2 linked regions of the Yarrowia lipolytica genome follow. The protein of the gene in region 2 interacts with the protein of the main gene of each other region in a biochemical or structural test. Links are inferred from orthologs where the notes say so. Each region holds a gene or a part of one and is shown on either strand. Other genes may lie near its edges.

Region 1 (15,739 bases), on a different chromosome or scaffold from region 2:
TGATTACAGTACCGGTACAGTACATAATAGGGTGGTCTTAATCAGTTATTATAATTAGTTAGAATAAATTAGAATAAATAAGCAAATGATCTAGAGACCCTCGAGGCCCCTAAGTAAGTCATGACGACCCCTAAATAAGTCCCGAGAGTCCCGAAAGGAGCCCAAGATGGCCACGGCTAGCCCTCACTCTATTACAACCCCGGATAGAAATCAAGATGTATTGAAATGAAATCTGCAAGTAAGATGCAATAGAATAAATATATGGTGGGTTGAGTGTCCATCGAAGTCATCCAGTGACAAAAAGTAGAAGTACGGGTTCAGTAGCCTGCGCGTGAGAGCCCAGGCCCCAAACAAACGCACTGTGTTGCATAGAGGGAAAGTGATTAGTGTCCTTGAAGCTGGTGAGAAATATCTTGTGGATCACAAGCTCCAGATATGAGCCTTGAGATGGAGGCCTCATTTCAGATGATCCTCCTCTGAGCCCTATAGTCTGCATCAATGCTCAGACTCGAGTGCTTTTGGTCCAGGACTCAGTAGACCGGGTGTCGCGATGGTGAAGTCCCCTGTAGAGCCCTAATTCAAGGCAGGACTTCTGGCTCGCATAAAACTGAGCGTGTAGCCGGCCTAGACTGACAAAAGCCTCTGGCACCTAATCTTCGTCGCTCTCCAACGCATCCTTTTCGCCCAGCAAATGCTTGTGCCAGTCCATCAACTGAAAAATCAACGTCATGTTCGGTCCGATTTCCGGCGACCGGTACTTGACCCAGTCATAGGCTGCATTCAGATCAAGCTGCTGCTTCTTCATAATGTAAGCGATCAGCAGCGACGCACTTCTTGAGACTCCACACTGACAGTGAACCAGCACACGCTTGCCAGCAGCACTTCTGTCATCAATCAGCTGCGTGAGATACGGCAGGTCAGGCAGGAACTTGGAGTTGTGTCCCCAGGGCACGTAGACGTACTCGGGGTTGGTCTGTCCATCATTAGCATACTGCTCCTCGGAGAACGGGTTGTCAATCTCCTTGGCCACGTTGATGACCACGTCGAACGTACGGGCGAGCTCCACAGAAGGCTCCGAGTACAGGTAAACGTTGCTGGGGTAGATGAGCAAGGGTCCATCTGGGTATGCGTTCTCATGGTGCACGGAGGGAGTCATGAGCTCCTCTGCGAACAGGTGATGTTTGCTGGGTGGAAGCGCATCGTCGTAGTTTGGTGGCGGTGTAGTGTGTGTAGTGTTATCGGAGTTGGGGTCCGATTCCGAGTCCGACAGCGACAGCTGAGAGGCCGCGGAGTTGGCGGAATGGTGCGACTGGGACGTCGGGGTGCCCAAGGGGGCAGGCAGAGTGTTTGAGCCGGAGCACGTGGCCAGCGGGATACTGATACTCAGTTGCGATGTTCGTCTCTGCATCGTAAACGGTGGTGGTTCCATACTGAAGGGAGGCACACTAGACACAGTGGCAGAAGCGGCTGGTTGTACCTGCGGACTGGGGGACTGTCTCTTTGGGGAGGTTCTGGAGTGGTAGTTTTTGTGTTCGCTGCGGTAGTCACTGTCGTAGGCTGCGTCCTCGGGCTCGGCGTCGACGTGGGATCGTTTGACGGAACCCTTGCGAGACAGTCCCAGCGAGAAGGAGGCTGCCAGAGGAGAAGCAGCAGCAACCGAGGGGGCGGACGCTCGCACGGGCGTCGAGCTGACAGGCAGCACAAACGGCAGCGGCGCCGCTATCGAAGGCTCTATAGATGTGTGAGGCGGCGAGACATTGTTATTGCTGTGGCTGTTGTGGCTCTGGTTGCTACCTTGAGGTACCATCAACGACAGGTTTTTGGTGTTGGAGTTTTTGCCCTTGGGCGGTCGGAACGGCAGGTGGCGCGGCGGCGCCGGCAACGAGTCCATGGCGTCGGGATCGTGTATCTGTTGTGCTTGTGGGTGGTGGTGGTTGGAGGGCACGTGCGAACCCGCCATGTCGGCCACCGAGCAGTTCATGGGTATCTGGGAGAGGTGAGGAGAGTTGGGGTTGGTTCTGGGCCTGTCGTTACGGGACTCGAGTCGTGAGAGCTGCGGGAGAGTGCCGGGTGCGCGTGGGGGTTGCGAGTATCCAGATGAGTTGGTTCTCGGGCGTGAGTACGTCGCACTTTGGTGTGTGTGTGTGTTGTGTTGTGCGGTGGTGGTGAGGCCAATGTATATTCAATATACATGTATGTACAAGGGAGTCTATTCTGGCTTTTTGGCAAAGTTAGTGTGCACCTTGTTTTTTAACCTTCGTCTGAGGCTGGCACTCTGATCTATTTTTGTGTACGCACCCACATGTGGGAGGTAGCTCATGTGAGTTTATTGTGCTCCCATGTGAGCGCTGTGGTGCTATAAATATCCATTGTGGGATGGCCAAACGCCAGCTTGGAGCGTGAGGACGGCGCCGCGAGATTGGGCAGGGCATTTGTAATTTTTTTTTGGGGCCCAACATTGATTTTTCCGGTTTTCACTTTGGCGTCATGGCAGCAGAGTCCTCCACTCGTACCTTGCCTTCGCCCTTTACTCTTTACCCCTTGCCTTTGTCACTGTCTCTTTTTGACCTTTTTGTCCTTTTTTTGACATCCTTGATTTACAGTACTTGATTATAGTCTTGTTACTGTGGAGGGTGCACAACACAAGACTGTGTGGGAGCGTCGGGAGGGGGAGTATCAACAGAGTCGGCATACATTCGTACAGTACAACGTGTACATACCCAGCTAGGACGGTCCGAAACCAGCTGCAAGTCCCCCAGATTTCGGCCACACGTGCCCTCCAGCCATCCGCCGACTCACATTCATTCCTGATAGTCGCATCTGAAGCACCCTTGTTTTGCACCCGTGTTTCAACGTGAGACGTGCAAAAATTAAATGCATCTTTTCACGCACTAAAACTAACCGACACCAGTGCACCCAAGTGAAACCTGCGGTTTTAGATTTGGCAGGCCTGCACGCTTTTCGTTGTTGGTTTCAGGACCACTCTCAACGGAGGTATGGGATGACGTATGAACGTGGGAGCAGCAGCGAGAACCAGCTCAACGTGCAGACATTGTCCAGGGTATCCACTTGCAAAGGCCTCGGAATGTACCACACTCCGGCGCGAGCACCGTTTTTCCTTGGTATTGCCCGTAGGGGCTCTGTTCCCCAGTCTCTCAATCAAGGAGTAAATCAAGCCAAAATAACCCTACAATCATAAAACTGTACTGCGACCAAAGGTAGACGTATCCGAGTAGATTCCGGGGGCTCCAGCAGTTGTGTGTCAGTTGTCAGAGTCTTCTCACAAGACGTTTCACTAGAAAACGCTAGCTCGTAATATTGGCATTGTTTTGTCTTCATTTTCAAATAATATCCCCAGCATAATTTGGCTGCCTGCCTTTGTGGAGGGCCAATGGGACTCTACAGGAAGTGTGACAACCACAAGTGTCTACCGAGCATCTAGCATCTACAGTACATACAGAAAATTGTTATAAACGGATCCGACGCGGTCACATGACACGTACCCCTGACATGAGGAGGCTGGAAGAAGAGCTCAGGAAGCTCGATATGGACACGTCGACCATCATTCCAAACTGAAACCATGTGTGGAAAAGGGTGTGCGTGATCGGCACCATGCGTTAAGGGTAGTCTGGGTCTGGGTCGCGATGAACACGGTCTAAATGGGAAATGGACGCGAGACGAGAGGAGACAGGTATAACGGACAAGTAAAGGTCGCAGAGACAAGAGGAAAGCTGAAATCGACCCAGAATCGCTCAATTGATTGACCAAACGGCTTTCAAACAGACTACCTCCTCTCAAACATACTCAAAAGTGAACCCCCCTCCCACCTACTGCACCACGATCTACAGTCTCACAAGGACATCTCATCTGTCCATATCTCATCTTGCAGCCACCTCTTTGTCGAGCCCACCAAAGGCAAAAGAGAGCGACCCCAAAGTGAATCTCTCTATCGAACCGTCCATCATGTATGGCTGCATTACCATATTCGATCCGTTCCTGGTGCTGGTGCAGGTACAGAGCAAGGCACAAGATATGAACGTACAGAAGCCAATGTTCTGGGGCTGTGTCGATAGTTGGCTGCCTTTGGTTCCTTCCTACAGTACGAGTACAGCTGAATTGTACTTCAACTCCACCCAGACATGTACGATACTTGTCTCTACTTGTAGCTCGATTAGTAGCCTCTGTGGTCGTATCAGTGCGTCGAGCAAGTGTACAAGTGCACGCTTGTGAGACACGGCACTTGCTTGCTACCAAAGACATGTGGAACAGCATCGAATGAGTATGGTCACGTCCTCTGAGACCTTGGATACGACATGGGTGCATTTCCGTGGACGACCTGCATTCAATGAGACACGAGTGGCGGAGAGAATGGCGAAGAAAATCAAGACTGGTATGTATCTGGAGTCCACGCTACATTTATCCACCAGTGGGCTCACCCTTACGCCCACAAATCACGTCTAGCCACACTAACGGGCGTTTTAAAGCATCACAAAGAGCAGTAGCGCGGAGAGCCGCCTTAGTTGAAGTTCCTAGCGCCACTACTGTAGAGCGCGGATAGTGTCCATAACTCTTACCCATCAGCTGATCCCGTAGTCACACAGTGTCAGCTCAAGGACATACCTACAAATGTAGCTATAGGCGGCGTCTTGTCGACTTCGCGAGAGGCTGGGGGAAGCAAAGCTAAGCGAACGGAAAGAGAAGCGAATACGAGTTGCTTTCGAGCTAGCGACGGATTCAAATGGAGAGCCAAGCCAACCTAATCATCTACAAGTACAGGTAGCTTGTTTGAAGAGAAGCCACAGATGTAAACTGTGGGTGTGAGAGATGGAGCCGAAAACTTGTGAGAAATGGACAATCTTGTATGGTGGGGTCAATGTTTCATCTTTGGATGTCAATCGAACAATGTACTGGTATGTGTAGATACGAGTACGAGAGTGTGTTGAGCCTTTGAGAGCGGTAAAAAGGAGCGTCACCAGCTTGCCCATTCCCACTACAAGTAGTAATCAGCGGGGTCATTCGATTATCTACCGTTGGTGTCTCAGTTGCTGAACGACAAGAACCGACATCTTAGGGGAGCCCGAAATAACATGCTATAAGTACTTGTAGTCTGTACTGGGTGTCACAGTATGTACTACTCATGTCAACAGTAGATGAGTATTTGCAACCAGTACTGTAGTTGTAACAGGACTACTGCCCCAGTATCCATCCATTCAGTCAAACAGCAAAGCCCCTACTGGACATCCAGAGGATATAACATGAGGAAAACATACCCACATGAGGAAAACTTGACATGAGGAAAACATGACATGAGGAAAATAAGTCAATTAATCATTCAAGGATTCTGTGAATATCTGTTAGCCGCAACTCCCGTTTCATTCGGTCATGTACTCGGAACTCTAGACTCACCATCAGACACGCTACTGTACCATTTATTGTAACGCAGGAACGTTACGACTGATTCACCACCTTAAACCCCCTCTAAGAACCCATCAACTAGTCTCATTCACTAGCCCTCCTGTGATTAAATACTACCGTTGGATTCCCCATCGTCTTTTTTCTCTAGTGATTTATTAACATAGACAAATAATGGCGGAAAAAAGGGGGATGTTGGTATGTGTCCAAACACAGCCAACGCCCAAGAACAAGACGCTTGAATGTTGCTCCTATCAATCCAAATAGAAAAAGATACGACAAGGTCCGCCATTATTCATAATACCGGTTTGTACAAGTACTGTACAGACAACTCATTTATCATGATCCAATTGGGTCAATATATCTATATATGGGTGTTAGCTACTAAGAACACTATACTGTTCAATAACTACGTACGCTTACTCATCTAAACCAAGTAGCTACTGTACAAGTATACCAAAACAGCTATCACATAGTGGCACAAACAACCAAAAACTACCCTGGAATCAATAGCACCACCCTTCTCTGCTTCGAACACTACATGTACAAGAAGTGCTCTCGAGCCTAGACAGTCATGTTACAGTAGTTCAGGAACCAGATCAAAAAGCAAATAAATACGATCGAATGTACCTCTTAACTTCAATATGGCATGTGTTCGGAGATATCAGTGGGATCCTCATAGCTTTGCGCGAACATGTACACACACCTACATTGTCACCAACATATGTACTGTGCTGTACATCCTGTACTCATATATCCGTGGAGACAGCCGAACTACAAACAATTATACTCACATCTCCTTCTACACTACTGTTCTCATTCGGACTAGATCCTCAGCGGACTAGATCCTCAGGCTCTCTTCTCATATCATCAATCCATTCTAACCTCTATCTACCTACTATCTTGTCACCTCCAAGGTTGCAACATAAATAGAGTTTCTATATAACCGTACTTAATCTCTTACTGAGAAGCACACTGGACACCCTGGGCTCCTCCAGGTCCATCCTCATCCATGTCCATCTCATCATCGCCGCCCATAGCTCCTCGGTGCTTGAGAGGATCCACGTCAGCCAGAACAACATCGTCAACATGGACACTCTCGGGCACACTGGGAAGAGCAGGCTTGGCAGGCAGAAGAGCAGACAGCTGTTGCAGAGTCTCCTCGTTGAGAGAGCCAGATGCGGGGAACTCGACCTCAAACTGAATGAACAGGTTGCCGTGAACCTGGTGTCGGTAGGAGGGCATACCCTTGCCCTCCACGACCTTGGTGGTGCCATGCGAAATGATCTCGCCGGGGATGATCTCCACCTTGATCCACTCCTCCTTCTCAAGATGCTCAATCATGAAAGAGCCACCGGTAAGGGCAGTGTTGAGATCAATCTTGGCGTGGTAGTACAGATCGTCGCCTCGTCGGACAAATCGGGCGTGGGGCTGCTCATCCAGCACAAAGACAACGTCACCAGGAATAATATCAGGACCCTGGTCACCCTCACCAGAGAAGGTGATCTTCTGTCCGTTGACCATACCCTTATCAATGTTGACCTCGAGCACCTTTCGCTCCTCCTTGGTCTTTCTTCCGTTACAGTCCTTGCATCGATCCTTGGGGTCGATGATCTCGCCCTCGCCGTTACAGTCGTTACACTTGGTCTGGTATCGCTGCAGCATGGGGCCCATTTGTCGGGTGACAAACTTGAATCCCTGACCCTTACAGGTCTCACACTTGTTGACGGAGCCGGCCTTGCCTCCGATACCGTCACAGCCGTTACAGAGCACGGTCTTCTTGAGAGCCATCTTGGAGGTCTTTCCTCGGAACAGGTCCTCGAGGGTCACGGACACGGCGTGAACAATGTCACGGGATCGTCGGGGGCCCTGGGGCTGGCCGCCGCCGAACATGCCGCCCATGCCGCCCATGCCACCGCCGCCGCCAAAGAAATGCGAAAACAGCTCCTCAGCAGATCCGCCGCCCATTCCTCCGTCGGCTCCTCCGCCGAGGCCAGCCTCTCCAAAGTTGTCGTATGCAGCTCTCTTCTGGTCGTTTGACAGAACCTCGTAGGCCATGGAGATTTCCTTGAACTTGGCCTCGGCCTCGACGTTGCCGGGGTTCTTATCGGGGTGGTATTTGAGAGCACCAACTCGGTATGCCTTTTTGATTTCCACTTCGGTGGCGGTTACGCTGACGCCTGGGTTAGTAAAGCACTTCGGGGTGCGTGGCACGACTGAGCGAGAGACAGGAGAGATGTGGGAGCACGTAGCGTGTCTGGTAATACCAGGTTGTGTGGTTTGGTCATGGCAATCGCAGGATGGTAATGAGAGAGCCGCAACATTGCTACTAACCAGTGTGACAAATCCAGATGAACAGCCAGTCATGTACACAAACACAGAACCATCCTCAGATTGCACTGTGTTCATATTCATACTGCCACATTGTCACATTGTCACATTGCCAATCCCTCCCACTCAACATCACCACAGTTTCGCTTCGCTTCTGATCCTTGATATGATAAGACTCTGATCACAAGTCTGTGTGTGGTCTTCATACTATTCAGCTTCATCTCAACCGCTCCGTCCATTCACTCTCCTCTTCTCTTCTCTTCTCATACTCACCGAGAACGTCGTAGAGTTTTGATTCCTTGACCATTTTGTCTGTGTCGTGTGTTTGTGTTGTTGTGAGAGTCTAGGTCTAATTTTTCCAGGAGGCCTCAACTTCTCGTAGATTGGCTTGTATATACACTGCCAAAAAATTTGAGGATGGGCCTGAAAGTTAGAGGGCACAAAGAGTACTGGGAGTGTTTAACGCGAATAAGGTTCACAAAGAAGGGTGTAGAAAGATCCAGACACTGCCTGCTCAGTCCCGTGCCAGTGGAGAAAGAAGGGCGTTGGTGGGGTGGCGTGGGAGTGGTTTTTTGCTGTGTATTTTTGCCACGCGAAATCGGGTCTCTGGCTCCATTTTGCGGCCGTTTTGGGGTCTCTGACGTCGTGCATAAAGTGTTCAGTTGTGCGAGCTCTTGTTCCAAGACCTTCTTCCAGTTTCCCCAATGTTCGATGAGCTCAACTTAGTGACGTAATCGCGAGTTATAATTTACAGGTACGGGAGCGGGATCGCATCGAGGAAGGGCGATGGTGGGGACACAATTAAATATCACGCAAAAATAGTGATAAATATACGTGTGCCATGGGCAGTATATTTTGATTCTTTTTGCGTGATATTTATTCATCCCTTCAACCGCCTCATCTCGGATCCCAATTGTCTCGAGTTAATCACTGATGCACAATCTAATTGCACGCTGGGCACGAGTAAAAACGACGTGCTGGGGCGTGGGTTGGTGCCTCAGATAGCAAGGTATACGCAATCGAAGCAGCATGGAAGTTTCGTGGTCAGTGGGGACCGGTTTGGGGTCCACGAGATAAGTTCTAGGGTGTTCTAGGAGCTGAGAAAGAGTGATGTGTAGATGGGCTTAAAAATTACCGACAAGTAGAAGGGGAGTCAACTAAAGATTCAAGTAGCAAAACAACCAACGGTGAAGGATTGCAACTTCGTTGGTATTGAATCGATAACGATTTTGGAGCAGTTAGAAGCTTTAAGAAGGTGGCCGGGCTGAATAAATGAATTTCAGCGTCCGAAATACCTCTTGAAACAGCTTTTGAAGCCTCGTGTGATGGTGCTCACATCGGAACTCCTACTTGTAGTAGTATGTTACTGGGACTGGATGGAGACATCTTGATCTGCTGGATAAGAGATTTATTTTGAACCACTCAAGTCCATTAGATTCATTGGATGACTTGGTTGATTGATTGAAAAGAACTGCAGAAATCTGATCAGCAGATTGCTATAGCTGGCTTACCATTGTCCTTCCGTTACTTTTTTTTTTTTTTTTTCCTGCATATACATTCATTTAATTATAACTTTGCTGTGAAAGAATAACCTTTGAAATGAATGTACGCTTTTCTTACCTCTGTCGGATCATTTACTTGGAAGTTAGTTAGAGAAAATGCCAGCTTGAGGTTCAATACAGATCCCAGCGTCGTTCGAGATCCAAGGAGGATCTTTGAGAAAAAAATGTAGCCGAATATATATTAATATATTTCGATATACCTGGATTGACCAAAATGTAGGACTCAACATTACCTATATTAGTTTGGACTAATGTACCCTGAAGGGGTTTAGCTACCAGAACACCAAATAACCACCTTCGAGAGAGTAGACCTCTGTTTGTCAAGTACGAGCTACAAGTACAGTACAGTACAGTACTTCACTTCTAATAACAATAAATTAATGCAATAAATCCATGCTGTTGTCGTCTGCCATAGTGATGCAGCTGTGAATGATTTGCCAATCGTCCAGTAATGTTGCAGATATCTCTGCAACAGCCCACTCAATAACGGGTCGTTTGATCCGTACAACTGTCACGGCGAGGAATGTTGAGCACGACCTTCAGGCTGTCAGATGGGTTCGCTCGTTCGCAAAGTTCACTCATCCACCTCCTCCTCGTCACTCGACTCGTAATCCACAGGAGCCAGACCAGGAGTCAAGCCAGGCTGACCCTTGTACCGCTCAAACTCATCCTCTCCCTCAGACTCAGTTTCCTCCTCCTCAGGCTCGACATAGTTGGGATACGTCTTGTGCTTCACCTTAGGCTTGGGCAGACGACCCGTGAGCTCAGCAAGCTGCTTGGACTTGAGCATATGGGAGCCCCGCTTGGAGTTGACGTGCTTCATGATCTGGGCTTGAAGCTGCTCCTCGTCCATCGCGTACTCGGACTCCTTGACGTCATAGGATCGCACCAGCCGCGCGTTCTTCTTGATCTCAGCCTTGCGCTTCTTGTCAGCGAGCTCCTTGTCCAGAAGCAGCTTGAGCTCCTCCTTCTGTTTTTGCTCTTTCTGCCGTAGCTTTCGCTGGGTCGCAGACTTCTTTTTGTGCACTCGTCGGCTCACGTCCTCGGACGGAGCAAGCGTTCGGCTCAGTAGCTTGGCAACGGTGGCCTCAGAAGCACTTGAAACGCCCATCTTTTGTGTGTAATGTGGTGGTGATGAGTTTGTCTTGGATACAGATATGCACGACAAAAATAATTTTCGAAATCATGCATGTCGAGGTTTAGGGTTTGTATTACATAAGCGAGGGAGGGACGGAGCACTGGGTTGTATAAACCGGCCCTAGCGATGCTATATCGGAAATATTGAAAGACATTTTTGTTTTTAATCTCGTGAAAAGTATTATTCACACATATTTTATCTCGTAACTCATGTCAGACATCCAAGTTGGATGAACTTCATATCTTGGACGCCATCAAAGCCATATAACAGCCGAATGGAACTCGATGAGAAACTGTTAGACTAGAGAATATTGCTTATATGGCTTTATTACTCAGATCACAAGACTTCATTTCCATACAAACCTCCTAAGACTGGTGTTGGACCTAATGAGAGTAGACTCTACAGCATATCTCCAACTTGGTGTGCCATAAGGGAAGGGCAATGTGAAGATATGCGGCTAATGTTTTTTTATAAATACAATAAATACTCAGTTTATATGGATTTAAAGTAATTTAAACCATTTTGGATCACTCTGGGATGTCTTAATTAGACACCTCGTGCTCAAGTGCAGAGTTATGATAAGCTTACATAATCAAAAAAACAATTGGTTTTGAGAAGGGTCTTATTTAGTTGACTGATTTGAGAGATACTTTCAAACATGGCCAATTTTCAACATAACGAGCCAGTACAAGGCCCAAAATGAGTGAAAGAGAAATTTCAGTGTCAGTTTGTTGCATTACTTTCACTGATAATACAACAGCACGTGATTTTTCTCGCTCACCAACTGCTGTCCTGTAGATCTCCAAAAAAGTGTATTCCAATTTCACTAATTTGTCAACTAACTATGGAGGTTGAATACACATGGAAGTGCACATATTCATCCATGATCTTGATGTAGATCATTTGAACCGAGATAAGTCTTTTATTTAGATGATTTTGTATCTATAAATATAAATATTAGCTCTCCATCCCTGCGGGAACACTACAAACGAACTCCCAGGTGTATTTTTGCCTCAACAAGTTGTCAACTAAAATGTCGACTAGAGACTACAGTAATCACAACCAGCGTCGACCTAGAACAACGAATACAACGTCCAATGACATGAAAAATACATCATTGGATTTCGCTAATCTGGGGCTTTAAATCGACATTACAAAGATGCCCAAAAGTCTACAGCTGCAAATATATCGAGACCACTTGTTGATACTACACTTTGATGCTGAGATGATGAGATATACACTCTACTTGAAGGTCAGGAGGTTGTCTTAGGCTAGGGAAGAGAGACATGTGGCAAGACATGTGTTCAGAATCCGTCCAGAATCTGTCCGTTATTGAGTGTTATTGAGCCGCAGAACCATTTAGATTCCGTATTATCGTGATTTACGTGGTAATGTGTAGCACACGTAACATACTGCATCCACTCATATCCTGCAGATCTACAATACTGTGTGTACAATTGCGCGAGTACTTATACAATATCCATCTTGAATCGACAAAAGCAATCTCAAAGGATGGACAAGACTTTACTTGTACTGTACAAGGTGCTAATATGATGAATACTGTCTCCGCACAGTTATTTATGTATTCGCTCGAGCACATTACTCGTACATAATGTGGCTCGCCAATAAGCACTACAACTGAATTGACCGTAAAGAGAGCGCCTACAACACTCAGATGGGCGGATAATAGAAAGTGTTTTCTTACAACACATGCGCTCTCCGGTTGTAGTGCTTGGCTCTTATTACGACACTGATAGCTACACTCGTTCGCAGATGGAGCCGTAAAACAACAGTCGCTACAGTCCTGTTATTTTCCGCAACCCCAACTGCTCGCTCTCCTAATAAAAATGCATTTCCCCTCTCTATCTGTAAGGAGCATCAGCGTCCAGAGCGTACTGCAGCTCGAGCTCCCACTTGTCTCCGTTAGCAAGCAGCTTTTCCTTGTTGTACAGCAGCTCTTCTCGAGTCTCGGTGGCGTACTCCACGTTGGGAGTCTCGACAATGGCGTCCACGGGGCACGACTCCTGGCAGTAGCCGCAGTAGATGCACTTGGTCATGTCGATATCGTACTTGGTGGTTCGTCGCGATCCGTCGATTCGCTCCTCAGCGTCGATGGTAATTGCCAGAGCGGGGCAGATGGCCTCACACAGCTTGCAGGCAATGCATCGCTCCTCACCACTGGGGTAACGTCGCAGGGCGTGCTCGCCTCGGAATCGAGGAGAGACGGGTCCCTTCTCGAACGGGTAGTAGATGGTGTAAGGAGCTCGGAAAAACTGTTCCAGCACAACGTACAGGCCACGGAACATCTCGGCCAGCAAAAAGTACTTGGTGGCCTTGGAAAGAGCGCCCTCTTCGCTCTCCTCCCAGGTGGCGGGTCTGTGAATTCGGAAGCCTGCTGGGGGAGCAGCAGCGGCAGATCCTCCGGCGTAGATGTTGATGGCGGAGTCTGTGGCGGGGGCGTGGAGCCGGGCTGTGGAGGACAGCAGCCGCATGGATCCGGGAGCGCCTCGCAGAATCGATCGGGTGACAGCGGGTCGGACCAGACTCAACATTTTTTTTTGGTTTGTGTGTGGTGGTGATGTGTGTGGTGTTGTACCCTCTCCAAGCAGTATTACACCTTTAAGCTTGTCACGTAATTTTGCTTGCTTTCATTGGCTGACGGTTGGGAGGGACGAGGTTAGGGTTCCTTGAAATGAGTGGCCGCAGGCCACGAATGGTCTACAGTGGGTGTATTGGTGGGTGAATTTTCGTTTTAGACGTGGCATATGATTGGCCGCATGTAAATTAGTATATATTTATTTCAAAAATTGCACATTATCCACCCCTCGACCTACTTGTTGCAACCTCCGGACAACCCCCCATTAGCGAATGCTGATTGTAACTGAGGTTATTGGTGGGAATTCCACCCCCCCCGCAAATTTTGTTTGCATATGGGGAGACGAAAAGGTGTGGGTTCGAGTTTGGCGCGGGTTGAAAAGGGGGATATTGTGAGTAGAGTTTGGTGATACTGTACCAACAGTGCATTCAGGTTGGGAGTTTGAGTCATTCGGGATATAAAGAAATATATGATAGAAGTACGAATAAAATAGTAATTAGCTATCCTAAAACACGGCTCTACGAACGGCCATTTGATCGACATATTGGCGACAGATTACTACTGTACTTGTACTTGTACTTGTATTTGTATTTATACTCTTCTTTCGGACATGTCACTGACATTATTTCATTTCGTTACTCGGACATTTCAATCCATTCCTCTGTCTTGCCTCTCCCGTCTGCTGTATGTCTAGCAGAAGGTCCGACTCACGATCTTCGCAGCTCCTTCATAATCACCAATTATGATACCAAGAGTGCTATTAAAGCCGCTAATAGGGCCAAATAAATAAATGCAACACGATATAGCGGGGAACAGTGCTACATGGCTCATGCTGTCATTGGCCCACATTTTGGAGGAAGGGCAGATAAGAAAACTTGTTGGTGATAGATTCACTGGTCTCTACAGGTGGTAGTTGAGCTCAACATGCCATATTCCACTACTGTCACATTGTCTGTCCCTCCTACCATGCACTATTAACCTGGAAATGAAAAGCTTGTCAAGCCGATATGTCCGACGGTGGCTGCAGGGTGGGCATTACACCTGTTAGCCGAGATGAGGCGGCCGAGATGAGGTTCACATTTCTTGTTTCACGACCGGGGGAAAGAGCAAAAAGTATCCGCCGGGGGCGCGTGACCGTTGAATAGAAGGTGCGAAATTCCATTACAAGTCCGTCGACGTCATTTGTGAGACCCAGAGGTATGTGCTGGAATTGATCGTCATGAGACAAGCAAGTCCAAGTATGTGGTGTGGAATGCAATGTGCCCGCACTCTGGAGTACAGCAACTGTGCCACACAGTGCGGCAAACGGCACTACGGCAAATTTTTCACCTCGTGGTCACAGCCGTTTTCTCTCAATGACTCAGCTCGCTCGCCCGCCCACTATGCACTCACTTTTTTTTTGATCTACTGGCCGGCTTTCAGATTCGTGACCTGAAACCCAACCTTGAAGTGAATTGTCTGGGGTCAGAAGCATGACGATAAAACTTGTGATACCCCTATTTGTCTCACGTACGACGTAGATGTGCAGATAGCCCACATGGCCGTTCCGAATGATTCCGGTGACTGTGTCCCGAAGCAGGTTCTGTATGGTACGGTATAAAATACCAAAGTTGCACGCAGTTATCATGTTACCAAAAGTGTCCAAGAACAAACTGTACTGGCTATAACGATAACTCCGTAGAAGGTAGAGAGTAGCTTTCACCCGAGAACTTAAGAGGTAGAGCCGAACCTCTCGAGAGGTTGTCAAGTAGCAAAAAATTTGCCTGCAAGCAGATCATTGCGTCGTGGGGGGGGGGGGGGGGGATTTTACAGTACAAGTCTCGACTGTCGGATTCTCTCTACTGCAAGTACGGAACAATTAAACACCCACAGCGCACAATACAAGAGTCTAGCGGTAGGCAATAGTCAGCTCTTAGCTCACATATCTTACTTGGCCATGAGGGGTATGTTGTTATGAGAATGTGACAGTGCAACCTGGAGTCTATGAGGATGAGAAATCTAGAGTGGCTCGGCTGATCAAGTTAAAGCGCCCGTCTTGCCTGACTCAAGCGTTGCCACCGGAGCTTGTCCCGTGTCTAACTTGCGTCGAGCGTGAAGACAGGCGTCTTTTTTGTATCCATCTTGCTTTCTCGGGCATATCTCTGGGTGGTTGGAGCCGAATCTCGAAAGAAGACGGTGGTACATTGTCCCCCTCCCCCCGCCAATAGGCCATATAGCCAATTCGTTCTAATACATGTGGGGCAGGTTGTGGAACTAGGAACTAGACGGTCCAGACCACCGTTCGACAGACAGCTCGTTTCCGCTGTCCCGACACCCAGCAATGTTTCATACACCGTGGGGTTTGACTTGGGGTCTCCGAGAGCATTTCCACTACAACCCTGTCGAGCACTTTTAGGGATTTAACATGGTTTGTGGAGATGACTGTGGGTGCACCCTACGTAGGAACAGCCATTTCAGCACATGCTACAGCCAGCCAGCCAAGTCTGGCACAGGCTAAGACCCTCTTGTCTATCGCACTAAGGCAGATTGACTATGATAGAACCCCCTTGATGGGCACTGTAGTGCTTGTATTGGATAGCACATTTGCTGGATATAAGTCCGGTGATATGAGTCTAACTGTGCTGAAGAGCCTACAAAGTAGCCCCCCAAAAAAAAGCCAAACGGCAAAGTTACTATCGAACATGAGGGATGCGCTCAAAG
Region 2 (17,408 bases):
AACAGGTCCATCCGGATTTCTCCGAGAGTGAGAGAAAATACTTGTGTCTGCATCTTAACGCACATGACGCACAGAATTCCGCCTAGCTGGAGCGCAACGTGACGCTCTCCGGGGTGCGTTTCCCCACACGGCATGCGTTCGACAACAGACAGTTCCCGATTTGCCCTAGTGTGCTATTTTGAGCCGACAATTTTTTCTCACAAACTTCGGCCGAAATAGCTCGGCATCTTTTATCCGGGTTCCAAGAGTGATTAGCTCAAGGTTATCAATTTGATCTTGATCTAATGACTGACTGACTGGTCACATAGCCACTGGAAGGGCAGGACAGAAATACACGCCCGTGACAAAGCGCAGCTGGCTAGAAAAAGGCAACAGTCATGAAACAAAGATCCGACACGGATATACCGCAAGCTGAAAAATAACAACTAGAGCAAGACCGACTCGGCCGACATGTGATGATCGGCTTACTGTCAAACAGTCAGGTGAGTCCGTTTCCTTGGTCTTGTCGATTCAACTGACTCCCTAATACAGCTGAAATCCCCAGCATCACACAACTCCACCCGTAATTACTTCCTGCTCCGAGCAGGAACCGCAAAGTTGGTATTGTGTGTACCCGGCCATCCGGAATCTAAACCGCTTTTATGCACACGACCGTTGTAACAAACCAACCGCTTCCAAAGTTACAACGCAATACAAATACAGTATTGTGGCTATTGTACATGCTGACGTGAATGGAAGGAGGTGACGAGATGTAGAATGACAAAGTGTTGAATAATTTTACGAAAAGAAGTTGGAATGTGTACTACCATCGTAGGGATCACGTGACAATCTTTTTGTACCAACACTGAATCCATCACGTGGTGTTCCCACCGCATGTCTCTTTGAATATAAAGACCAAATGAGAGACATTCACCGAGACGTATATTTGCAGGATGAAACCATAACGCCTACTTGTAGAAGTATATACATTCAATATTTGTATGCTCAAGGCCCTTCTTGTATCGCACCACCGTGGGTACATACAATACGATTACTGGAAATTACTATTAAATACTTATAATAGGACCTCATGTAATGTCCGATACAGCCTACTGCCCACCGCCTCCTATAATCCTACCAATGCATTCACTATATCCTTTTGTGCGAAACGATCTGTCGTTTTATCTGTCTCTCTCGTCTGACGTCTACTAATTTCCCTCCTCCTCTTCCTCGTCTTCGTCGGTCTCTGCTTCACTCTCTTCCTCGTCGGTCTCCTCTTCACTGGCAGTCTGGAGCTCTCCATCTAAGTCATCAATATCATCCTCATCTCCTCCGTAGCCAAACTGCTCTCTCCACACTCTCTGTTCTCGTTCAAGACGCTGCTTCTCAGCCTCAGCAACTCCTCCACTGGGCTTGAGCTTGTTCTCTCCCACAAACTCGCCCAGCTCCTTTTCAAACTTGTCGACTCTAGACTCAAGTTCAAACTTTCGTAACCGCTCAGACCGTTCAATAGCCTCGATTCGAGACTCATGGTCGGGTTTCAGAGCAAGGACAGACGAAAGAACTCCCTCCTTGAGATCCTGAACGGACTCAGTAGGAACAGGGAGAAGTACGGCCTTGTGACTGTTCTTGGCGGCACTTTTAAGCTGCTCGTTGGAACACTGTTCAACAAGAGCCAGAGTAGATGCAGCAGAAGCCAAATCCTCTCGCAGATCGGCCATGAGCTCCTCCTGAAGTTTGAAGAACTGCTGCTCTTCGCAGATGGTCTCCAGTTCTCGTTCCCAGACCTTCTTCCACACGGACTTTTGCGAGTTGATGTAAGTCTCCAGAGCGGTGAGCTCGGTGTTACAAGTCTCCATCTCTTTGGTGACAACTTCAAGCTGACCGGGCTCAGCCCGAACGCCTCGCTGAGCGACATCCTTTCTAAGAGCCTCAATAACGTCCTGGAGATCGTCTGCTCGAGTGAGAAGAGCATCTGAGTCAGTAGAGACCTTCTTGTTGGCCATTTCCATGAAGGCTCGAGAGTTGTCTCCAGCGGCGGGAAGAGAAGAGTAGTCTCGAAGCTTGCCAATGGTGTCGGAAATGTCCTTCATTGAAGTCTTCCAGAGAGTGAAGGATGAGTCCTTGAGCTGTCGAATAACAGCCAGCTCGTGCTTCAATGCATGCATATCGGCAGCCTTGGCCTTGAGAAGATCTTTGTCGGCAATAGGAGTGGGAACAGGAGCAGGCGCAATAGTGGACAGTTTGGCCTGTGACACTTCTGGAGGAGCAATGACGGGAGTCTTGACAATGGGCTCCGTTGCTTTAACGATAGAGGGACCTTGTGTACCGGCACCGACTGCTGCCGAGGGAGGTTTCTTCTCCACCATAAGCTTCAAGTCTCCAATTTCTTCCCTCTGCTGGTTCAGAGCAAAAGTAATGGCCTTGACATGTTCCAAGATGCCCTGGATGTCGTCGCTTTTTTCCTTCTCTTTTTCCTTCTCCTTCTCCTTCTCTTCCTCTTCATGTAGCACCAGCATAGTTCCGTCGTGGATATCGCTCAGATGCGACTCTTCCAGCTCATACTCCACTCCAGATTTTTTGTCACGAATGTAAATGTTGGGGAAATCGTCTGCTCCAGGAGAGTAGTTGAATGTGGAGATGAATAGGAGTCTCAGAGCGTTGATGTTGACATCCGAGTCAGCCTTGACCTTTTTGGTAGCATTTCCAAGTCTAAGAAACAAAGACATTCCAGGTCCTCCAACATCTGTAGCCGTAGACACATCGCCTAAATCACTCTCGTCGGGAAGAGGAGTCGATGGCAACATGGGCATGTCTGGAACGGCCTTTCCAGGTGCTCCAGAGGTAAGTTTGGCGTATTGGTAAGCCGAGAATCGTCTGGATGCTCGTCTTTCGAGCGCCTCTCCTCGTTGTAAAGCTGCCAGAGGGTCTCCACGTGATCCCGGGCGTCTGGTCGGAGAGCCCTGGGGAATGGCAGGGGCCATGGCTTGAGCCATAGCTCCAGGTATGCCAGGAGGCATGTGAGCTGGTGGGGCCATATGCGGTGGCTGCGGCGGTTGTCGGGCCACCGGTGGACTGGGTAATCCTGGCTGCTTAGGTGCTGAGCCTATAGTTTGAGACCGTCGCACATGGTCTCTATCATCCTTGTGCTGTGGCAGAGAGGTGGGTGCTGAGACCTGTCTGGAGGGTCCGTATTGATGCTGGGGCGGGTGTGGTCGGAAATTTTTGGGTGATTGTTGAGGTGGGATCTGTTGCGCCTGTGCTCCTTGAGCTGCTCTAAGTGCAGCCTGTTTCTTCTTCAGACCCTGAAGCAGGTTGATGATGATTTCCCGAATGCTGGGCAGGTACAGATCGAGGTTTTCCTGCGATGCTTCTTCGCTTAGCGCCTTTTCTAGCACCGTCCGCAGCGCCTGGGGCACATCGCCCATGTCAGTGACGGGCAAGCCGGCGTTGAGAAACGCTCGACAGGCAATGTTGAACTCGTTGCCCAGATTGACGTAGATGTCGGACACGTCCTGTTCAGAGGCTGCTCCGCGGGCCCATTGCGTGAGGCTCTCAAGCAGCTGTTTGGTTGCTACCAGCAGATGGGTGACGCTGGACTCAATGGAGTTCATGGCAGTCGAGTTGCGGGCCATGGGGGTCTGAGCAGACAGACGTCTTGACGAGCCTGTGGGAGCCTGCTGGTTGTGGCTCTGGTGATGCGGAGGGTGCGCCATGGGTGGCGGAGGGTGCTGCCCACCGTGGTACGACATGGGTGGTGATGGACAGGTTGTAGTGAGTGTACCTTGGTGTGGGCCAGACTGCACTTCTTGAATTAGGTGTAATATGTGTCCCACAAACCTTGGGAATGTGTTTAGCTTTGTTGGTGGACACGGAAGGGGAGCTAAAGCAGGGGCGGGAGGATGCGATGTCAAGGTGTGAGTGACTTGTATAGTGGTTGTATCCAACACTGCTTTGCCGAAAAAAAAATAAACAAGACCCTGTCACCACACACTGCTCTATCTTTACATCATCCCCACAAGGTTCTACTTACCCCAATCATGTGATGTTGCAGATGCACTAGCAAGAAAAAACCATTGTCCCACCAACGGCTCAAAACCACAACCACACTCAATACTGTAGTCTTGCGGCGAAGAGTTACATGACGAGTAGATAATAATGCCGTTCTCGGGTATCTGCCAAGAGATAACGATTGAAGAGGGTTTGAAAAAATATATGAGTTCTCAGCTTGAACATTAGCAGCAATAGAGAAACTTCTAACGTGTAACATGGATGAAACATTACGTCATTCCACCTATCGTACTGGGTATTTTTATTACCCAGTGAGGGGGTACATTAGTAAGCTATTTTGTAGTACTGTGAGTTGATTTTCAACTACAAGTAGTTACTGTAATTGTACAGCACGAGTACGAATATTTACTTATGGGGTGAGGGTCGTGAGTTGGATTATAATAGAGCGCCAGAATACAAAAATTGCCTTGGTTGTCGCCTAGAATTTCGCACCAATATTTGTCAGTTTTGGTGTAGCACCAGAACAGCTTATCGTGGCCTACAGTACATACTGTGGTGAAGTCGTACAATTTCAGGGTTAGTCAGGATTAGCCAGGGTTATTTAGGAGAATGCTGAACTGTTACTGCTGTAGTACACAGACACACGCCCCAGTTGGTCAAGTCAACAAGCTTGACCGCTTTACTTGGATTTCTCATGTACATTTCAACAATCACTGATCTCATGACTTCACGATACAACTCATCTACAGTAGTATTTATCATTAGTGGCTGAAGCTTGGAGCATTTTTCAACGTGGGATTTTCTTAATGTAAGAAAACTACTGTACAGAGGTGACTTCAAGCGCGTGTTTCTAAGGAACGTCTTACGTTATTTCCATAAGCAGTGTGTGACCACTGAAGTACATCGGAGGAAGACAATTACAAAGACATTCGTTATAGTACACTGTCATACCACACCCTACTCTCATTACAAGTACCGGTACAGGTACACAATCCCACCTTGGCAGCTTGTATTATCTATCTAATTAAAACTGCGAATAGTGCCATGCAAAGGAATACTGATCCGTTGGAGACACACCCATATTTTGAAGTCAGGCCATGCCAAATACATAATGCATAATAGTTTAAGCGATGCTCGCTGTTGAGTAGAGCTCGCACTGCAGCCAGCACACCAGTGTGTTGACGAGGAGAAGCAGACTGGCTGTGCTTAACCCATCTGCTGGTACAGCTGGGACCACTTGGTCTGCTCCCACTGCTCGCCCTGCTGGTCGTTGTTGAGCTTGAATATACTGCTCATGACAGTAAGCTCGAAAGAGGTGGTGGCGTAACCAGCAACGGCCATCCAGTCGTTGACAACACAGCCAGCGCCGACAACAGGAGAACCTCGGTTGACGGATCCAGCAATCAGGGGGACCTGGAGAAGCGAAGAAAGCTCATCCTGGTCCTCAATGGAGGTCTGGGGGTGGACAATACCTCCCTGGTTGGACAGGGCACAGTAAGAGCCGACAAGCACATTTCCAGCAACAGTCTGTCGGAAGACCTCAACACCAAGCACATCGGCAATCAGCTCTTCGGTCTCTCGCTCGATATCGGGATGCACAAGAGCGGCGTAGTCGTTGGTACAGATGACGTTTCCAAGAGCAGATAGACGCTCCTCAACTCGCTGGATCTTGACCTCGTCGGGCAGGGAGTTTCGCAGGTGCTGCAGCTCAACATCCGAAGTGGTGGAGGGCACAAGCAGACCTCGTCGGTTGCCGGCTGTGAGACGGCCCACGAGTCGGGTGCCGCCAATGGTGGAGTAGACAATAGGAATGGTATCTTGGAGCTCGGCCTCGAAAGAGCTGTAGAAGTTCTCGGAGCCGCCAACAGCCACCAGACAGTAGGAGTTGGTGAGCTTGGAAAAGACACCAATCTCGTCAGAGTTTTCAAACTGGGCACGGGTAGCCATTATGTTGATTGATTTTTTTGAATAAGGGGTGAAGTGTGGTTATTCAGGCTTGCGGTGGATACTGCCTATCTTTATGTTTTGCATTGCAGCACAATTTTTTCATGACCGTGCAGCTCAGCTGCGTGCTGGAGTATACTGTGACTGATCTCGTCAACGTGTAGTTCTTGTCATGTCATACGTGCAGACAGTATGCAACTGTGATGGGCCGGTGGCGATATATGTGTAGATTGTGTGTGTGTCTTGCGGCAGGCTGTTTGGTACGTATGGTGGCGGATCGTATTCATGTAACAACAAGATAGTCCGACTGTTTGTGGACTCATACTTGAATTGAATATCGACTTACTACGGAATATATTGTAATACCTCCATTGGCTCAGACTGTGATCGGAGATTGACTCAGTTAGTAAGCAGACCAAGGGTGGGGCGAAATGTCCCTTTCAGAATATTCGGTTTTACTCTCATTTCTTCTATCATTACCCACCACAGTTCGTGTTACTGTACACACTACTGTAGAGATACAGCGATCCATTTATACAGTTAATTCATTATTTTATACAATATTTAGCTACCTCCTAGCAAAAAATACCTTAGTCGAGATCCATCTCGTCGTCAAAGTCATCGTAGGAATCTTCAGCCAGCTCCATGTCCGTCTCGCCGTCATGGTTGGGCAGAATCTCCAGACCCTTGTCTCCTCGGATGATTCGGACCTCCTCGCCGTCCTTAATCTGGTGCTTCAGAAGCATGACAGCAAGCTTGTTGAGAACCTCGTTCTGGATGAGTCGGTTGAGAGGTCGAGCACCGAGGTCGGGGCTGTAACCGTTCTCCACCAGGTAGTCCATGGCGTCCTCATCGAGATGAAGTTTGAGGTTTCGGTTGTTGTGCTCGAATCGCTTCGAAATCTCATGGAGACGAATGTTGATGATTCGTCGAATGGACTTCTTAGACAGCCGGTTGAAGACAACCATAGCGGTGATTCGGTTGAGAAACTCGGGTCGGAAGTGGCCCTTGACAGCCTCCATGACCAGGTCTCGAGTGGACTGGTCAATGGTAGTCGAGGTCGATCGGTTGATGAACTCCGCACCCAGGTTGGAAGTCATGATAATGATACAGTTGGATGCGTTGACCACCTTTCCGGCGGAAGATCGCACTCGACCATCATCAAGAACCTGCAGAAGAACAGTGAGCACCTCGGGAGCAGCCTTCTCAACCTCATCGAACAACACAACGGAGTAGGGCTTTCGGATCAGGGCCTCGGTAAGAATACCACCCTCCTCGTATCCAACGTATCCGGGAGCAGCACCAATCAGCTTGGAGCCGGAGTGCTTGTCCATGAGCTCGGAACAGTCGATTCGGATCATGGCCTGCTCGTCAGCAAACAGGAAACCTGCCAGCTTCTTGGCAAGCTCAGTCTTACCGGAACCGGAGAGACCAAGGAAAAGGAAAGAAGCGGGGGCGTTGGGGTTGGCAAGACCCGATCGAGACAGTCTGATCGCGTTGGAAACGGCCTTGACAGCCTCGGGTTGGCCAACAACTTCTCGAGAAAGCACCTTCTCCATGTTGATGAGCTTGGTGTTCTCGGCCTGGGTCAGCTTGGTGACAGGGATACCAGTCAGTCGAGCCGCAGTCTCAGCTACCTGGTCGGCGCCAACAACGTCCTTGATCATGGACTTCTCCTTAGCGGCATTCTCCTCTTCAAGCTCAACAATTCGCTTCTTCAGATCCGGAATGGCAAAGTATCGCAGATCAGCAGCAGTGGAAGTGTCTCGTCGTCGCTCGGCGTCGAGAGCCTTGGTCTCGAGCTCATCAACCTTGTGCTTGAGGTTGTTAAGCTCAACGTGACCTGCTCGCTCTCGCTCAAAGGTCTCTCGCAGAGGTCCGAGCTCCTCCTCAATGTCAGCCACTCGGTGCTTCGCGGCATCAAGACGCTCCTTGGTACCCTGGTCGGCGTGCTGGTCTCGCTCCAGAGCCTTGACCTCGATCATGAGCAGATCAAGCTCTCGCTCCAGGGAGTCCAGATGCTCGGGTCGAGAGTCTCGAGCAACAGCAACAGCGGCTGCAGCCTCATCGACCAGATCGACGGCCGAATCGGGCAGCTTTCGGTAGGTGAGGTATCGGGAAGCCAGCTGAGCAGCAGAAACCAGGGCAGAGTCCAGAATTCGGACTCCGTGATGCAGCTCGTACTTGTTCTGGATACCTCGCAGAATGGCGACGGTCTCTCGAATAGTAGGCTCTCGCACGTCGATCTTCTGGAATCGTCGCTCAAAGGCGGCATCCTTCTCAACGTGCTTTCGGTACTCTTCGTTGGTGGTGGCACCGATACAGTGGAGGGAACCTCGAGCAAGCATGGGCTTGAGCAGGTTGGCAGCATCACCCTTTCCATCACCCATGAGCATATGGATCTCATCGATGAACAGGATGATCATGTCCTTGGAGTCCTCAATCTCCTTGAGAACACCCTTGATTCGCTCCTCAAAGTCTCCCTGGTACTTGGCACCAGCCTTGAGAGCTCCCAGATCGAGAGAGAAGAGCTGGCAGTTAGCCAGAACGTTGGGGACATCGCCGTCGATGATTCGCTGCGCGACACCCTCGACAATTGAGGTCTTACCCACACCGGGATCACCAATCAGACAAGGGTTGGACTTGGTTCGTCGTGCCAGCACTCGGATACATCGTCGGATCTCCTCCTCTCGGCCAATGACAGGGTCAATCTTACCCTCTCGAGCCTGTTTGGTCATGTCAATGGCATACTTGTTGAGGAACTCGAACTCGTCGGCTCCGTCAGCGGTTCGCGAGTCAATTCGTCGCTTTCCTCGCACGGCTGTGATGTTGGCCTCCATGACGTCCTTCTTAATACCGCACTCCTTGAGAATGCTCTCAATAGAGGAGTCATCGAGAAGGGCCATGAGAATGTGGTCCTGGCCCACGTACTCGTCCTTTTGTCGCTGCTTGTACTTGATGGCATTCTGCAGCACCTTGGAGAAGGCGGGGCTCTGGGACAACTCGTCGGGAGGAGGGCTTTGGCTGGGCAGTCGAACAAGTGCCTTGTTGACGGCTCGCTTGAACTGGTCCCAATCGTACTTGCCTCGCTCTACGACGGCCTTGATGTAAGGATCAGAGGCATCGTCCTCTGCATCGAACATGGCAGCCAGAAGATGGATTGGCTGGAGAGTGCCCTGCTGGTGCTGCTGGGCCAGCTCGACGGAAGTTTTGAGGATCTTGTTAGCTCTGTCAGTGAATTCTGATTCGTTCATTCTTGTTGTAATTGTGTTAATGTGTGTGTTTCGAGAATCTCCAGATCGGACGGGTCTATATAAGTTTGCTTCGCTGCCTCAGTTGTCTATAGCTTTATGCATGTTGCACCTTGACTTCCTTAGAGTTGTAGAACCTACGAGAACCTGGCGGAAGACGGTCGAAGACAATGGAAGATGCTAGAAGGTGCTCGAAGAAAATCCTACATTTTGCCACTTTTACATGTATTCCACAACCTTCCAGGGTTTTTCCGAGCAATATTCGCCCCGCAACGTCTCTCAATGGTTGTTCCTATTCTCGTCCGCCTCACATGGTTCGAGTGGATTAGGGCGCGCAGATTCTGCACACCCTGGCCGCAACCAAGTGATCTGCCTTGTGCCACGGACGAGGGAAGCGAGACGGATGTTGCTGTTATCCCTGACAAATTGTCTATCCTTACATAATACTCTGGGACCTTACGTTTCTCTTATCGTATTCTCTTACTGTTCAATTGATAGATCATATGTACGTGCTCTACTTCTGCTTGTTACTGTGATGTACCACCAGTCAGACCACATGGAAACAAGGACGTTGGGACGATCGTGCAGGCGGGATTATCCTGGAGCAAGGCGGCTCAAAGGGTATTGTACTCGTACAAGGGATGTGTGGCTCCGAGGACGATGCATGTGTAAGGAGGAGGATTGATTTGCAGACACCTCATTTCTTTTTGGTGCCTTAGTGGAAGATTGGTAGCGGTGTCTTTTTCGTGTTTGAAAAAGAACGCTTCTGGACTTCTCTCTGCCACGCCGTTGTTGGCGCATGCAGAGACGCTGGTGCTAGACGAATGGGCAGATGTCTGTGTTGTGTCAGGTAACCAGTTCATACAACGCAGCTATACTGACCATATGTACATACTGTACTTGTAGGATCGTGAAGCTCCTATGTGGGTCACTCAATAGTAACTGTTACAGGTAACGGTAACAGTAACATACTGTCACGTGTAAACACCGCATCTCACCAAGGCACCCGTCAAGGCATCGCAGTACAACTACAAGTACTTGTAGCCTGCAGTAGCTGATTACCAGCGGTACTCGTACATACTGTAGCTAGCTGCAACAATACGAGGACACCTGATCATGGAATTGATAGTGGGTATATAAAGATGACCACAGTAGACATCAGGCAAAGCCATTGTTGCACAATTTGGGCTCTCAGGAAAAGAGTGGAGGCCCTCTTGTATTACGGGTGTTTTTCTTACTGTAGCTATCCTCGCCAACTCACACCAGGATTTTATTTCTCTTTAGGCATTATAGGCTTATGCTTCCGTACATCCTTGTAGCTGAGTTTGGTCAGTGAGTTTCACCAGACGCAGCCATAGAGGTATTTATTGTCGTATGCGACGACCAGATACAAGGAGCGCAAGCGAGTGTATTTAAATCAGATTTTTTGCAAGATATCTTTACTTTTCTCTTCAGCACGTGCTTTACTGTATTTACAGTAGCTATAGAGTGCAAACAATCCCCTTCACAGTCAACGTTGGCTTGTATGCCTCATGTTGTCTTCTCGTTCTCGTCACTCCAAATGACCACAATTGATTACCCCAGAGGTCGGCGAAGATTTTCAGCATCTCTGTCAATGGAGATATGCTTGCACTCGGGCTGGAGAAGGTTACAGCGTGTATTGACCGTACCTGCCGTACCTACCACCGATCTACACGGTGTCTCACGATGAAGAAAGCGTGTCGGAATCGATTCCCGATGCTATATAACCGCCTGTTTTCTTGTAGATCCCACACTCTGAATACGTTAGAGCCCGAACCCAAGATTCGTTACAGTATGTCGTATGGCACCTCTGAAAGAGACTATCCACGAGACATGGGAAAGTATTGGCCAAAATATCGTAAAGAGACCGTGGGGGAGGGGAACAAGAGCCGTTGGGGTGGACAAGGCTCCTTGTACCTCAAAGTGCTTACCCGTTTCGTATGTACCCAGTTGACGCAGATTTATGTACCTCTCTCATGTCCCATATTGGCCAACCAAAACACGGTTGGTTTTTTTCTGCGCCTTATGCTCACCTCAAACCTCGCTTGCATTTGCTTTGAATCTCTAATTCTATGGGAGCCAATATGCGAGATGAAAAGGGCAATAAGCTATCACCAACTACTGTACAAGAAGATAATCGTAATACAAAAATGACAGTTCGGAGAGATTTTGTGGACCCCAGAGGTAGTTCCACCATCTTACACAGAAGCATCATCACAAGCAACCCGATCAATTACATTGTACAAGTACACTCTGCCGACCATGCATTGCAGCTCAACCGAACAAGCACACAATGACCAGCTCCATACAAATAATATAGAAGTACAGGCCCTGAATAATACAGTACTTGAACGGTTATCGAAGGACAAGCCACATTAGCAACGTCTAACAGGCTCTCTTTGTGCTCCCTAGTCTTGTGTCCTACCTGAGCATCATTTTTAAACTGATCGGGACAACTGATCGGGACACCCACATGGATATTACCCTTCCGTTGAGTCATGTCGTTGAGTCATGTGGGGCTGACACTTGCGACTTGTACTTTGGAAGAGAAGAGGCAGAAACGAGTTCTTTAAAGTCACAGATTCGAGCAACCATTCATTCCGGCTTGCCGCCATCAGATATACACCTACGGCCTCCTTGGTCAGTCCCATACTTGCAACTATCTCACTCCTACAGCGGCGTTGTTTTTTGACCTTGCAAATAAGCAATAGACATAAAAGACAAGCCAGCAGCCAAACCAGAGTGGTTCAAGTGTAGTCCAACGTTATTGGTAACCTATAATACTCGTATGACTCAAGTGAATGAGTCTCAATGAGTCTCGGTGACTCGCTTTGACTCAAGAGACTCAAAAGACTCAAAAGACCCAAGCCGCTTGTAGCGAACTTTAGACGCCGTGGTTCCCGAACACTTGTTTTCGTGCGGGAGCCATTGGCCAAGTCTTTGTTGGTCAACAAAGAACAGATGGAAAAAGTTTCATGGAAAAAAAATTGGTAAAAAAAGAGAGTTTGATTGAGGTTGACACAAGGAGCAACTTGAAAAGTAGTCGGTGCGTTGTGTTGTTGCTGGAGGCGATAAACCACATCACGTATGATTATTTCTGCCTATAATCAACTGGAATGTACCACAAACTGCTCCCACTACCAGTAGAACCTATTTCCCGCATCGCTCACAGCCGCACTTCCCCCCACACCCCTGTAGGCGTAACTTTCAGACCAAAGACATTAGCTCAAACACTTGAGTCATTTGTTGCATAGTATTGAGTCATCCATATCCTAAACAAGCACACGCTCAACCTTTTCTTGAGTCAAAAGCTAGTCACTGGCGAAGCAAGGTGCGTCAACAGGTTCTTCTTAAATAGCTCCTCTTGGCCCACAGAGACGTTTTTTTTTTCTCTTCATCGCAACAAGACAACTGCAATGACAGGCTACATTTCTGAACCGGCGTCCAACGCCATCATCTACTGCACCCTATGTTTCTTCCTGGTCATGGGAGTAGTGGTTGGCTACTTGCACATGCGAAAACAGAAGAAAGAGAACCAGGGCAGTGAAGGATTCTTGTCTGCGAACAACACAAAAACAGCGCTTCCGCTGGCCATTAATTTTGTGGCATCAGGTGAGTACTAACTGAACAGAATCATGACTTGCACTGCGGGTGTTTTTGGAGGCTTTTGAGACGGTATAACGACCGCTGGTGTTAACTGTCTCACCCTCCAAAGGCTGAGATTACACCGCCACACTCGAACAAGATAATGCTTGCGTGAGAAAGTGCGTTACTAACCCAGCCATGGGAGCTGGAACCCTCAATGCCTATCCCGACATTGCTGTGCGAGCAGGTGTCGAGGGCTTGGTTGTCTACGGTCTCTCTTCTGCCCTCCCCATGATGCTTTTCGCCGGAGTAGGCCCCATTGTCCGAAAAGCATGCCCCGATGGCTTTGTGCTCACAGAATGGACCCGACTAAGATACGGCTGGCTCACTTCCTTCTACCTCACCTGTCTCACCATTGGAACAATGTATCTGTATATGGTTGCTGAGCTGGCTGCTGTGCAGGCTGCAATTGAGACACTTACTGGAATTGATGCTCTGCCCGTCCTGATTGTTGAGGCTGTGTTCACCTCCATCTACACTGCTGTCGGAGGTTTCCACACATCTTTCTTCACAGACAACTTCCAGGGAGGAATGATGTTGGTGCTCATGGTAATTGTTTGTGTTGGTCTGGGAGTCTACTTCCACGTTGATCCTTCTGAACCCGCCAAATCCGGTATGCTGGGCCCGAACCTGCTCGCTAACAAGCTCATCTACATTCTTCCTGTTGCCATTGCTACCAACGATTGCTTCTTAAGTGGTTTCTGGATGCGAACTTTTGCTTCAAAGAACAATGTTGAGCTATTCTGGGCCTGCGCTATTGCCAGCTCTATCGTTCTTATTGTTCTGACCGTTGTTGGTCTTACTGGCTTGCTTGCTGTCTGGGCTAAGCTTGAGATTGATGGACAGGTCTTTGTGTACGGAGACGAGCGATCTGCTCTCGCTTTCTTCTACGTTCTCAAGGAGATGCCTGGGTGGGTGATTGGGTTCACCGTTGCATTTGTCCTGTCTCTCTCCGTCGCTTCTTATGACTCCTCTCAGTCTGCGATGGCTTCCACTATCTCCAACGACTTCTTCCGAAACAAGATTCCCATGGTCTGGGTGCGTCTTATTGTGCTGTGCATCAACGCCCCCGTCATCGTGGTTGCCCTCAAAGCCCCCAACGTTCTGAACATTTTCCTGATTGCCGATCTTTTCTCGGCAGCCGTTATCCCCATTATGTTCTGTGGTCTTTCCAAGCGAATGTACTTTATTTCTGGCTGGGAGGTCATCGGAGGCGGTTTCGGAGGTATGCTTACAGTATTCATTTTCGGATCCATCTACTTCAAGAGTGCCCGAGAGGGTATCAAGCTGATTATTCTATTGGAGGGTCTATACGGGGATGACTGGTCTGCTTTTGGAGCCTTTGTGGCCGCACCTGTAGGCTCTCTTCTCTGGGGTTTCGGAATTCTTACTGTTCGTCTGACAGTTCTTAAGATCTACTCGCTCATCACTGGCAAGCCTTTCACTGCCCTTGACAAGCCTTCAGATGATAAGACCGGTATTGCTGTCATTCGGGAGATTGGCCATGTTGAAGATGACAATACCTCGGAGTCCATCATTCTCGACCGAAAGGACCCCAACATTCTCACCGAGACACACATTCTCAAGGAGCAGCCTACAGTCAAGGAGGAGTCGTATGAGGCGTAGATATGATCCCCCAACCCTCAAAAATCGCATTTGCGTTCTTAGTATAGCTTAGTAATTTTTATTTCTTCATTCGAATTTTATAATATACCGCAAGTGTCATGCTTTATTGCGAAATCCATCTTATCACTCACCGGAAAATGTCGTCGTAGGGGTGGGTGCGCCATATCGGCTTTACAATCCGAAGTCCATGGCCACAGGATTCGGCTGTGTGTTTGAGCCATATCTTTCACGTGTCAGGCGCGATCTCCAACCCATAACAGCGTTTCCGATATCTGCGGATTTCGAAACAGTCGACAGGAACTGACAGTTATCCTTGACAGATGACATTACTGTACTGTAACGACATGTTGGACAAGCGAGATGAGATGAGAAAGTGTAGAGTAAGAGTACTGTAGGGAAGTGGTAATGAGGGTAAGGTATATTTGGCTTGGTAACACAAACAACACACCTGCTACTATATAATCCCTGCTTTTCTGCCCACCTGAACTCCTCTGATCACCCTGGTAACAGCTGCTCCCTCTTCCCTGGGATACCTGGCTGTGGCTTTTACCAAGCACACCGCCAAGGAGACGTCCAGCCCCCACGCAAACTTCGAGGGCGTTCGCCACCTCTGGTCCAACACCACAGTCCTCAGAAAGCGACAGACAGATGTCACTCTGACTTCTCAGAACTACGTCTTCTACTCTGCTGACATCACTATTGGCACTCCTGCTCAGGAATTCACGGTTCTGGTTGACACTGGCTCTTCTGATCTTTGGGTCTACTCAAGAAACGACACCCAGGACTGTGCCAACAATGCCTGCCAAGCTACCGGCCAATATGACTCGTCTGCCTCTTCTTCCTACAAGTTCGTCTCTAACGACTTCTCTATCCAGTACGTCTCTGGAAGCGCTGCTGGAAACTGGGTCACGGACACTATCACTGTTGGAGGCGCTAGTGTACCTGATTTCCAATTCGCTAGTGCTGTTGATGCCCCTGGGGGAGTAGGTGTGTTTGGAATTGGTCTTGCCTCTGGAGAAGCAGCCAAGGTCAAGTACGATAACTTCCCTGTGATGCTCCAGAAATCAGGAATCATTTCCCGAAACGTCTACTCTCTCTACCTTGATTCCATTGATGCGGCCACCGGCTCTGTCCTCTTCGGAGCTGTTGACTCTTCCAAGTACTCTGGTTCTCTCGAGACTTTGCCTCTGACCTCGCCCAACGCCTTCCAGGTCGCTTACGGAGACATTTCGGTAAATGGACAGAGTGTTTCCAGCGGCGGAAATGCCATTCTCGACTCCGGAACCTCTTTCTCGTACATCCCTGAAGCTGCATTTGCTGGTCTTCAGAAAAAGCTCAAGCTGGGAACCCTCGAACCCAACACCCAGCTATACACTATTGATTGCAACGCTGCTTCTTTCAACGTGGACTTCAAATTTGGAAGCTCGACCATCTCTGTTCCTTCTTCTCAGCTCATCATGCCTCTCAAGAACTTTGGGCTCAACTCCAACCAGTGTGTCTTTGGTATTGTCTCTACCAAGTACTCTTCTGGTTATGTTCTTCTCGGAGACACCTTCCTGCGATCTGCCTACGTCGTCTACGATCTGGACAACAAACTCGTCGGAATCGCTCCAGCCAAGTACGGCACCGCGAGCTCCATTCAACGAGTCACTGGTTCCCTGTGAGTAGTCACACTACCATGGCACAACGCTGGTCGTAAGTCTGTATAGCTAGTTAATATGTTTGTACTGAGCGGTGGTGACGTAGGAAGTGCAAAAAAGAGGTCTGCGGTGTGTCGAGGTCAGGGACAGAAGTCCAAAGAACTCTCGAGTCAAAAATAGAAGCCTACAACGCTCGAGAATGGCAAAAAGGTCGTACCCGGAATCGAACCGGGGTTACTGGAAGGTACTTCAAGAGTCAGAATCCAAGGTGATAACCGCTACACTATACAACCAGAGAAAATTGGTCCCTAGCAGGATCGAACTGCTGATCTTCGCGTTGCAAAGAAGCTAATTCTTATTAGCACGACGCCTTAACCAACTGGGCCAAGGGACCGAATCTTAAAAAACACTAAAACATGGGTCACCAAATATGAATGTGTATTATGTAATCGCTTAAAAAAACGCTTTGTTTGATTGTTGATATATTTATCCGGTCTAGAGATGGAACAGGAAGAATGCGTGAACAAGCGAACACGAATGTCATGCGCTCTTCTGAATAACCGAATCCGAATCCGAATCCGATTTGCGGGTATAACATTGTCTTTAGGCCGCAAGTAGCTGAAATGTATTTCCCTAGAATAAAAAAAAACATCGTCTATAAGATCAACCATCATGACACTGGCTACTAAGTCACCCAGACCCGAAGAATGCACGTCAAACGTATTCTACGACAACGTTACAACACACCGCTTACTGCGTCTTCATTTATCAGCAGCTCTAGATGGTCCAGCTTGAGGCGACTACAAGTACCAGAATTTTTAATGTTTGATTGTTACTATTTTAATGTTTATCCAGTCAACAAGCAGAGGAGAAACTTGCGGAGAACTGTGAGCATGATTGTCACTTGTACAAGTACAAGTACAAGTATACTTGTATATTCAGTCTGATTAGCGGATATAAGATACTGTATAAGGGACCCACCCAACCCAATTGATGCAACTCTGTTCAGAAATACAGAAATATAAATACTATACTTGTACTTGTATCTATTCAATGGGGACCTTACCTTCGTTCCCCCAATCCAATACACTTCAACTCATGATAACAATATTAAACATCATTCGTTTTATTTTTTATAATAGCATCATAACACATTAAATACGAGGACTACCAGAAGTCTCACTTTCCTAATGTTACAGAAAACAAAAATATAAGATCATACATAATGAAGATCCCTATGATTGATTAGATATGGTTCATTAGATGGTTCATGTAACGGCTTACAATCCAC

The links.
Region 1: the proteins of YALI1_E33056g (region 2) and YALI1_F01405g form a complex in vitro, tested with the Saccharomyces cerevisiae proteins (2 studies listed by BioGRID). The link is inferred for Yarrowia lipolytica from reciprocal best matches to the Saccharomyces cerevisiae genes HSP104 and YDJ1.

Annotation. Positions count from the first base shown.
Region 1 is NC_090775.1:132,674-148,412, forward strand, and holds YALI1_F01405g (uncharacterized protein), read right to left. Parts: upstream 7,828-15,739; coding exon 6,373-7,827; downstream 1-6,372. Other genes in the region: YALI1_F01346g (uncharacterized protein), read right to left, coding at 650-1,981; YALI1_F01369g (uncharacterized protein), read right to left, coding at 3,805-4,323; YALI1_F01430g (uncharacterized protein), read right to left, coding at 9,880-10,416; YALI1_F01456g (uncharacterized protein), read right to left, coding at 12,306-12,995. UniProt on the Saccharomyces cerevisiae protein: Probably involved in mitochondrial protein import. Is also required for efficient translocation of pre-pro-alpha-factor. Involved in heme regulation of HAP1, as a component of the high-molecular-weight (HMC) complex.
Region 2 is NC_090774.1:3,296,455-3,313,862, forward strand, and holds YALI1_E33056g (uncharacterized protein), read right to left. Parts: upstream 9,189-17,408; coding exon 6,525-9,188; downstream 1-6,524. Other genes in the region: YALI1_E33002g (uncharacterized protein), read right to left, coding at 1,188-3,731; YALI1_E33024g (uncharacterized protein), read right to left, coding at 5,197-5,937; YALI1_E33072g (uncharacterized protein), read left to right, coding at 10,809-11,360; YALI1_E33094g (uncharacterized protein), read left to right, coding at 12,990-14,477; YALI1_E33112g (uncharacterized protein), read left to right, coding at 14,798-14,852, 14,988-16,141. UniProt on the Saccharomyces cerevisiae protein: Required, in concert with Hsp40 (YDJ1) and Hsp70 (SSA1) and small Hsps (HSP26), for the dissociation, resolubilization and refolding of aggregates of damaged proteins after heat or other environmental stresses.